Tribolium castaneum: one gene and its partner. The protein of the gene in region 2 purifies or fractionates together with the protein of the main gene of each other region. This does not show direct contact. Links are inferred from orthologs where the notes say so. Each region holds a gene or a part of one and is shown on either strand. Other genes may lie near its edges.

Region 1 (3,926 bases), on a different chromosome or scaffold from region 2:
AGCCAATCAAAAAATTTGGCGGTTTAAAAAAAATCCGTGCGACTTGTAGTTTATGAGTTTTGTCACTTATTGTCCTTCAAAATTTTTAAAAAATTGGTAAAAATTAATATAATTATTTTTTTCACACACTCAAAAATTTTAGACTCAAAATAATTTTTATTAAAAAAATTAATTAAGCTTCTCTTTAAACGAAACTATAACTAGAATCGTTATCCAGTTTTTATCATTCGCTTGATGGTAATTTAATTTAAGTCTTAACTGGACAATGATTAGCGTAACCCAATGTAAAAAAATCTGAGCATTTAATTGCGAAGTAAATTAATTTATTCACTGCTAGAAACTGGCGCTAGGGCTGCAACCAACAATACACACGACATGTGCAGACTGCGGGGAGGTTTTTTCGGTTGCATTTTTCTCATTTTTTTAAAGGTGGTGTGGAACATTTAAAGACAGAGTAATACCAGGAGTTTATGAAACAGTTTCTTAGGAGTTACTCTGTTGGCAAAAGGAAAATCTTTGCCTCCTGAATAGGTACGAGTACACTTATGTAAAATATTGTTAATGTGTTATGAGAAAATAAAACAAGCAATAAAAAATTCTAAGTATTTTATTTACATCAAGAAGTACATAACTAGTGAAAAATATTCCAAGTAAGTAATAAGATAATTTACATCTGCTGGGTAGAATTACCGTTCCAGGTATTATTCTCATCATCACTATCGTTTTTATTGGACAAACGATGAATATTCCCCTGCCTTCTAATCACTGTTGTTTCGCCACCCCTTCGAACTTTTGGTTGCCCCCTAAAACAATTCCTCAATAGTACAGGCAGATTTTTTTAGGCCCTAGATTAAGATTGCAATAAAAATATAACTCAGGATAACATAAGTAAAAAAAATGGCAGCAAGCCATGTTTTTTTGACGTATGACATCCACAGCCTTCTTGATGAGTAACTTGAAGAATAGTAAAAATTGTTAACTTCAGTTATAAATCTTAAGAAGAATAACAAACCTGTGATCACTAGATGACGCTTCAGCGGCTCGCTTATTATCGTTGCTAGTAGATGGCGCAGGAGCCGATCCAAACACAAAAGTCTTCAAATAACCCAAAAGAGTCAAAATCGGGGTAATCAAAGTCCACAAAAATCCTGTAAACCCTCCTTCTGTGTTAGTAGCAACGACTCCCCTATTAACCGGCAAGATCAAAATAACAGCAGTTGGAACAAGCCCCAGTTGCAACAACGTTTGACTATTCTCAGCTTCAGTAAATTCTCTTCGAGGGAAAGTTGTGGAAAGTGTGTAATTGCTAAACGGTAGATGCAAATTAGCTTTAATGTGAGCATGGACACTTGCTAGCGTGTCACTGCTCGAAAAATCGTTCGTTGCCGTGCTGCCATCTGGCATTCGGAATTGCAATCTGGCTGTGTTTGTGTTGACAGGTCTTGGAGATGACTGCGATTGCGATGAGTGAGCTTGTGGTTGAACTGTGGCTGTTGGAGAGAATTTTGCCGCTCTTTCAGCCTTGTCTTGAGCGATTTGAGCCAAGACTCGTTCACGAGCCGCCTGACTTTCGCGCTTTTCTCTTTCACGTTCTTCAAGGACTTGCTTCAGCTCTTGGTCCTCCTGCCAACGTTTCAACTGTTGCACGTTTTGGCCCATTTTACGACGCTCAAGCTCCTTCTCGCGCTCTTTCTGCAAGATGTTACGCCATTATTTCACTGAGGATTTTGAAGTTACAAGTGTCAAATGGACTTCAATTTTGACAAATTAAGACCAATCAATAGTTTTCGAGAAAATTGCAAATAAAAGCAAAAATTGGTCAAATTTTGAAAAATTCATAACTTAAAAACTACTGGGAATTTGGCGATTTTCTTGACACCAATCGATTCTCCGGATCATTTTACATGAGACAGAACCAAAATATTGTTGTTTTCGTAGCTGAGTTATGAAAACATCGTTTGTTTTATGAAATGTTGCCAACTTAAATTCAGCCACACATTACCTCAAACTCCTCCTTTCTTTTCTCTTCTCGCTTCAGTTCAACCAACTGCTTGGCCCTTTCAACCTTTTCTTCAACTGTTAAATCCTCTTTTCCTGCCACAGCTTGCTGACTGGTTGAAGGCGTTTCGTCTTTTTTCATGGTGCAAACGTCGTTTTCGCACACAACATTTTGCGCCTGTTCTTTGGTGATAAAATCTTGTGATTGTGAAGCAATCGGAGAAAGTCCGCCTTTTTGCAGAATCGAGTTGAGTTTTTCTTGAAAAGTTTTAACATCATTTACTTCAGTCACAATCTCAATAGGCACTCCTTGCTTCCCAATAAAATAAACCGAAGGGGTTGGAACTTGCTTATCTGACTGAGTTAGGGACAAATCAATTAAAAGTATCAACAAAACTTGGATACTACAAAAAAAGGATACAAATTTGACTAAACTGCTGATAAGGTACAGAGTCGGCTTCGATCTTGATTGCCACAAAGCTATCGCTTCCTAATATTTTAACGATTTCCTCCTTGTCGATTAATTCGGTTATTTGCGCTGACTTATCGTCTTTGCCTAAAAACGGGCGAAAAACGACATGGAGAGGTTAGATAACGTTTGCGTTTCTTACCGTAAACGTAAACTACGAATATTGCCTGTTTGGCTTTCGAAGTGACGATTGCTTGGGCGATTTCACCTTTAAACCAGTTCATTTCGATTAAAACTATTTTTTTTTAATAAAAAATGAGTGTTTGTGACAACTGACGTGTTACATTGACAACTGTCATGTGGCGCTAGGTGCATAGAATATGCTAGGTGTCACAAGCAACGCGCCAAAGTTAAATTTTACGAACAGATTTGGACAGAAAATGTGGCGCTAATTAGCTAAACATCTATGGGGTGTTCAGTGCTATAACGGAAAAAGTCCAGTTTTAGTCATTTTGAAAAACGTAAATTTTTGAAACCACCTCTAAAGTGGCCGAAATAGCAAATAAACAGGCAAAATGCTCTTAAAACTTTATTTTGGGTCGGGTATTGAAAACTGTTCTTTATTAGTCTAACGGAAACCATGGTACAAGGTACCGCAGACATTTGTATCCCGAAAATGCACTCTTCAGTGGTGTTTCCTTCTCAACGGTGCACATCATGACGACTTTATCCACTAATTCGTCACTGTGCACAGATTGTCTAAGCCTTTCCTTTAAAAGATTACTATTAAAAGTGCCTTTGTCTGTCATTAAATTCGTTTTGGTGAGAATGCAATGAGCCATTTTTGCTATTTCAGAATCTTTGATTCTTTGTCCACCTAGCGCAACACAATTTGCTGTATCAGGATTTTGCCCTTCATTTTCAAGAGCAGTGAGTGTCTAAAACAATAAATTTTAACTAAGATTAATAACGAAACAACGATTTTCTTACCGGGATTAGAACGACGACGGTTATTAAACAATAAATTTGTTTCATCGCGGTTTACAATAAATAAGCGGAACAGCCCGTCCGTAGCTTTTAAATATTCAAGTTGGTAAAATTAGCACTTTTATACTGGCCATTACAGATTGCAATCAAGATTGCAGCAAATAAATATGGGATATTATTATTTAACTGAATAGCGATAGAGTCACAAATGACTTATTAACTAGGAAAACTATAGTTTTTTATATGCAATAACAGGTTCAATAAAAATTTAAAACAAGATGTTTCAATGTTCCAGCTTAGACTCGCACAATTTGCCAAAAAAATCTTCGTGGTAGGAATTACATTAAAGTTAATTAAAAATGAAAAAAAAACAAATTAAAAAGTGCTATTAAACAACTATCCTGGCCAGATAATTTGTAATATTTAATATACAATGTGTTCAAAAATGGTTGTTCATCAAGTCGACTATGGAATTCAAACTCAATGTGCCGCTTCATTCACAATACAATCCAACCCTTCACATAAAAATTAT
Region 2 (3,926 bases):
ACATAAACTTCAGTGTGATTTATTGAAATGTATAAAGGGCAAAAATTAACTTTTCGTGTTGAACATTTTGATGAAAAAGGGCGTTTAATCGTTAATAAAGGGGGTGTTAATGTGTATTAAGTTTACTACATAATAAAACATAAAGTACAACAACTTTTCTATAAAAGCATTTTGCAAAACTCTTATTCATTATTTTCACTATTTTCCTCCTTTTATTTGTGCAAACGAGCTGATGATGTGAAATTTTGGTGCGAAAATTAGTGGTAACGCCACAAATTGTGTTAGTTTTAAGTCTCCAGAAAATTCGGTTTTAAAAGTAGGGTTATGTTATCAACTGGAAATGCAAAATTTTCACATTTATAGATTTTGTGTCCGTTTCTGCTTCTTTAAACCGTTATTAGTTATTATTGAATATGTTTAAGGGCAGACAAATTTACCTTGAGTTAACGACATAAACTTCAGTGAGATTTATTGAAATGTATATAGGGCAAAAATGAACTTCTTGTATAAAACATTTTTATGAAAAAGGGCGTGTTAACGTGTGTTAAGTTTACCAAGTAATAAAACATAAAGTACAACAACTTTTCTATAAAAGCATTTTGCAAAATTCTTATTCATTATTTTTACTATTTTCCTCCTTTCCTGTAATAACTGATTCGCCCTTCGGGGGCCATTCTGAATACTGTAATGAATTTTTAAAAATAAAGTTTGCGAAATCGGGAAATTTTAAAGAATGTCTAAAAATTCATTAAGGTTCCAAGGGGTGTTTGTCCGAACATGATTTTTTACAGTCGAAGGCCCTATCGAAGTGCTTAATCTCCTGCAAAAATAAAGAAAGTTGCAGGATATAAAGGGGGTGAAAAAAAAAACAGTTTGCATTGCCTGAATATGAGAATAAAAAATGCAGAAATTAAATACAGTTAAGTTGTTTCAATTTGTAAGAGAAACACATTAGAATGGTCAGGAGATGTTTTACAAATGTGATATGCAAATCAGAGTAACAGCTTATTGATGTTTTTATAATAATTTACGATTATTTTTATAATTTTCCTGGTGTGAACTTGGCTGTAGAAAACGTGAATGGTGGGGAAATTGTCTGGTCGACTGTAATGTTCATGGTTGCTGTCTTCACCGACATTGGATTTTCAGGGTTTTCAAGTGTCACGAAATGTCAAACGTGGATGTGATCTGCAATTTTTTAACAACATAAAAAATGCGTTTTAAAAAATAACATTCATAGTAATTTCGCCGAATTGTGTGTCACGATGTCAGACTTCAACCCGTTCGCTGCCCTAATAGAAGAATCCACGAATAAATCGAACGATTCAACAAACACGAAACAAGGACATGTTAAAAACATCAGCAGCATCCTCGAAGAGATATTTGCATTTACTTTAGACCCGAAAGTTAGCGAGAAGAAACACTTCTTGTTGCTGGAGGAAGTTGCAAACACTTTCAGCCGGAATGATCTTGACCTCTTGATCCTCCAACATGCCCTATTTGATCGCCTGTTTATGTGTAACGAAGAGAATCCGTTCATAAAAACTGCCAAACAGAACTTCAGGAACACGCATTCGTTTGAATCGAACGTGCTCACTTATCTGTGCAATTGCTTCAGGAATTTGAGCGATGACACGAACCTTGAGAGTGGAGAAAAGGCCAAAGTTAAGTCGTTGATTATTCAAAACGCTGTAACGGCCCTCATACAGTCGGAAATCTACGAAGGCCAAAAACTAGAGCAGCAATTGATTGATATTCTTAAAGATAACACTGATAACGGTATGCTTTTTTTCAAAGATGTATGTAAGGGAGTTCTGGATGAGGAAGAAGGAGGTATCTTGAAGCAAATCACCAAAATTTTTTAGTTCACAAATTGTTTCAGGTGAGGCTTTTCTTAAGGATAAATTGGGGCAAATTTTACTGGTGTTAACCGATGACATAATTAAATCAAATATCGTCACTTTTGACTATGGAATTTTCAATGTTTTGAATGTTTTTACAACTGAGGAATATCTCGCCAGTATTTTTCTTGATGTAAAACCTGTAAAGTTTAGTGCTGGTTCAGACTATGCGAACACCCCGTTAGGGGCCATTTTCAACGTTTCAATCTTGCCCAAAACACCGAATGCGATTTATGAGCACTTCCAGGACCCTACTGATCAAGTATTAATTCATAAATAATTTTGATAATTATTTTACATTATACTGTAATGTTTAAGGCTAGCATCTTGTCGGCTGAAGGAATTCTCTGGAGCAACGTCGATAAACTAACCGAACACACGCACGCTTTTGTCCTAAGTTTACTAACTTGCAGTCCACAAATTAAAAATAAAACCCTGGAATGGCTAGGACTTTGTATCAAAGCTAACATTGATCGTGGAAAGTTATGGAGCGCCCAATCACCGCCTGAGTTAAATCTTGTCAATTATACAAGTGTGTCTGATGGTTTTATGATCAATTTTGGGAACGTAATGTTAAGGTTGTGCCGACCGTTTTGTAATAATTTCAAGGATAAAAAAATACTGAAAGTGGATCCGACCTACTGTTCTGTTCCTGTAAGTTGTTTAAATGGTTTGAAAATTGTTTTAATTGATTTGTTTAAGGATGATCAATGTTGTGAAAAGGGTGTCCATTTGCCTGGCATGAATACGGAAACATGTCTAATACCGAATGATTCAGATGATGAAGGAAAGTTGCTAACTGCTGAAAAGTATAATTTTGTAACAGAGTGTTTTTATTTTGCACATAAAGCTGTTAATTTGGGTTATCAAGTCACTGTGGATAAGTTGGTGCGCTTAAATCATGTGAGTAATTTTTTAAATTTATTATTATGTCTTAAATGTTTGATAAAAAACTAAACAAGGTTAAATGCATATTAAAAAAATGGAACTAGACATTATTTGAAATTGTTTTAAAATGTTTGATAATATGACAATAGACAAATTTTCTACTTGAAAATTTGGTCTTTTCTAATAGTTAATAACTAATTATTGTGGTTTAACTTTTTTGCAACTTTAAAGAAAGCTAGATTTAGATACGTGTCACCTGAGACAAAAGGATAAATTGCCCTTCAAATAATTTGTAGAATATTGACATTTCCATTAAAATATCTTTTTGTTAATGTCAAAACGATGTACTATTTATAATGTCAACAATGCACTCTTTTTCATTAATATTCTTTTTGTGATTTTGACGTTGAAAAGTTTATTTCCTAATGTGAAATTTTTGTGGTAACTTTTTTTTTAGAGAAATAAGTTTTATTTCTAAATTTATTTTATTCATAATTTCCTCACAGGTCAGTTTAATATCGCGTTTTAAATATTTGTTCCGGCCTTTAATGTTTTTATGAAAAATCGTTCAAATAGCATAAAAAATACAGTAGGTATCATATACAAACCGAATAAAATATCTCAAAAAATTGTCTTCTATTTATTTTATTTTTAAATGACACTTTTTCTATTTATACTACATACGAGTATATCCTGGACTTACTGCTAAAAGTGACCAAGTCAAAAATTAAGGGTCGGTTTACAGAAAGCAAAATTAAGATTTAATTCAAAATTAAACTAATTCAAATTAATTTGCCATAGTTTTTTTGCATTTTAAGCATTGACAAATGTTGAGTTATGCGCGACTAAAATTTAATTACAGTTAAAATGTTCTGTAAACCGGCTCTAAGTCTTTTTACAAATTAAGTTCATAATTAAATGCTTTTATAAAATCATTGTTGCTTTTCTGCAAATTTTTGTGGTGGGAAATTACAGGAGCAACACTGAAGTTATAGAAATCCGTCTATGTTTTACAGTTTTCCAAAAAATGTGGTCGTGTTAAACGTAAAACTTAAAAGGAAATATCTGACATGACCAAGTTTTAAAAATATAAGATTTATTTTCTCATTCGATTTGAACGTTAAATTATTTCATAGA

What was found.
Region 1: the proteins of Ube4A (region 2) and UBX domain-containing protein 4 purify together in Homo sapiens (affinity purification with mass spectrometry; 3 studies listed by BioGRID and IntAct, counting the BioPlex papers as one, with this or other methods). This does not show direct contact. The link is inferred for Tribolium castaneum from reciprocal best matches to the Homo sapiens genes UBE4A and UBXN4.

What each region holds. Positions count from the first base shown.
Region 1 is NC_087396.1:24,044,199-24,048,124, reverse strand, and holds UBX domain-containing protein 4, read right to left. Parts: upstream 2,782-3,926; 5' UTR 2,692-2,781; coding exon 2,610-2,691; intron 2,555-2,609; coding exon 2,420-2,554; intron 2,353-2,419; coding exon 2,003-2,352; intron 1,693-2,002; coding exon 1,013-1,692; intron 804-1,012; coding exon 668-803; 3' UTR 590-667; downstream 1-589. UniProt on the Homo sapiens protein: Involved in endoplasmic reticulum-associated protein degradation (ERAD). Acts as a platform to recruit both UBQLN1 and VCP to the ER during ERAD.
Region 2 is NC_087394.1:12,121,468-12,125,393, forward strand, and holds the start of Ube4A (ubiquitin conjugation factor E4 A), read left to right. Parts: upstream 1-1,138; 5' UTR 1,139-1,265; coding exon 1,266-1,833; intron 1,834-1,882; coding exon 1,883-2,163; intron 2,164-2,219; coding exon 2,220-2,555; intron 2,556-2,603; coding exon 2,604-2,804; intron 2,805-3,926.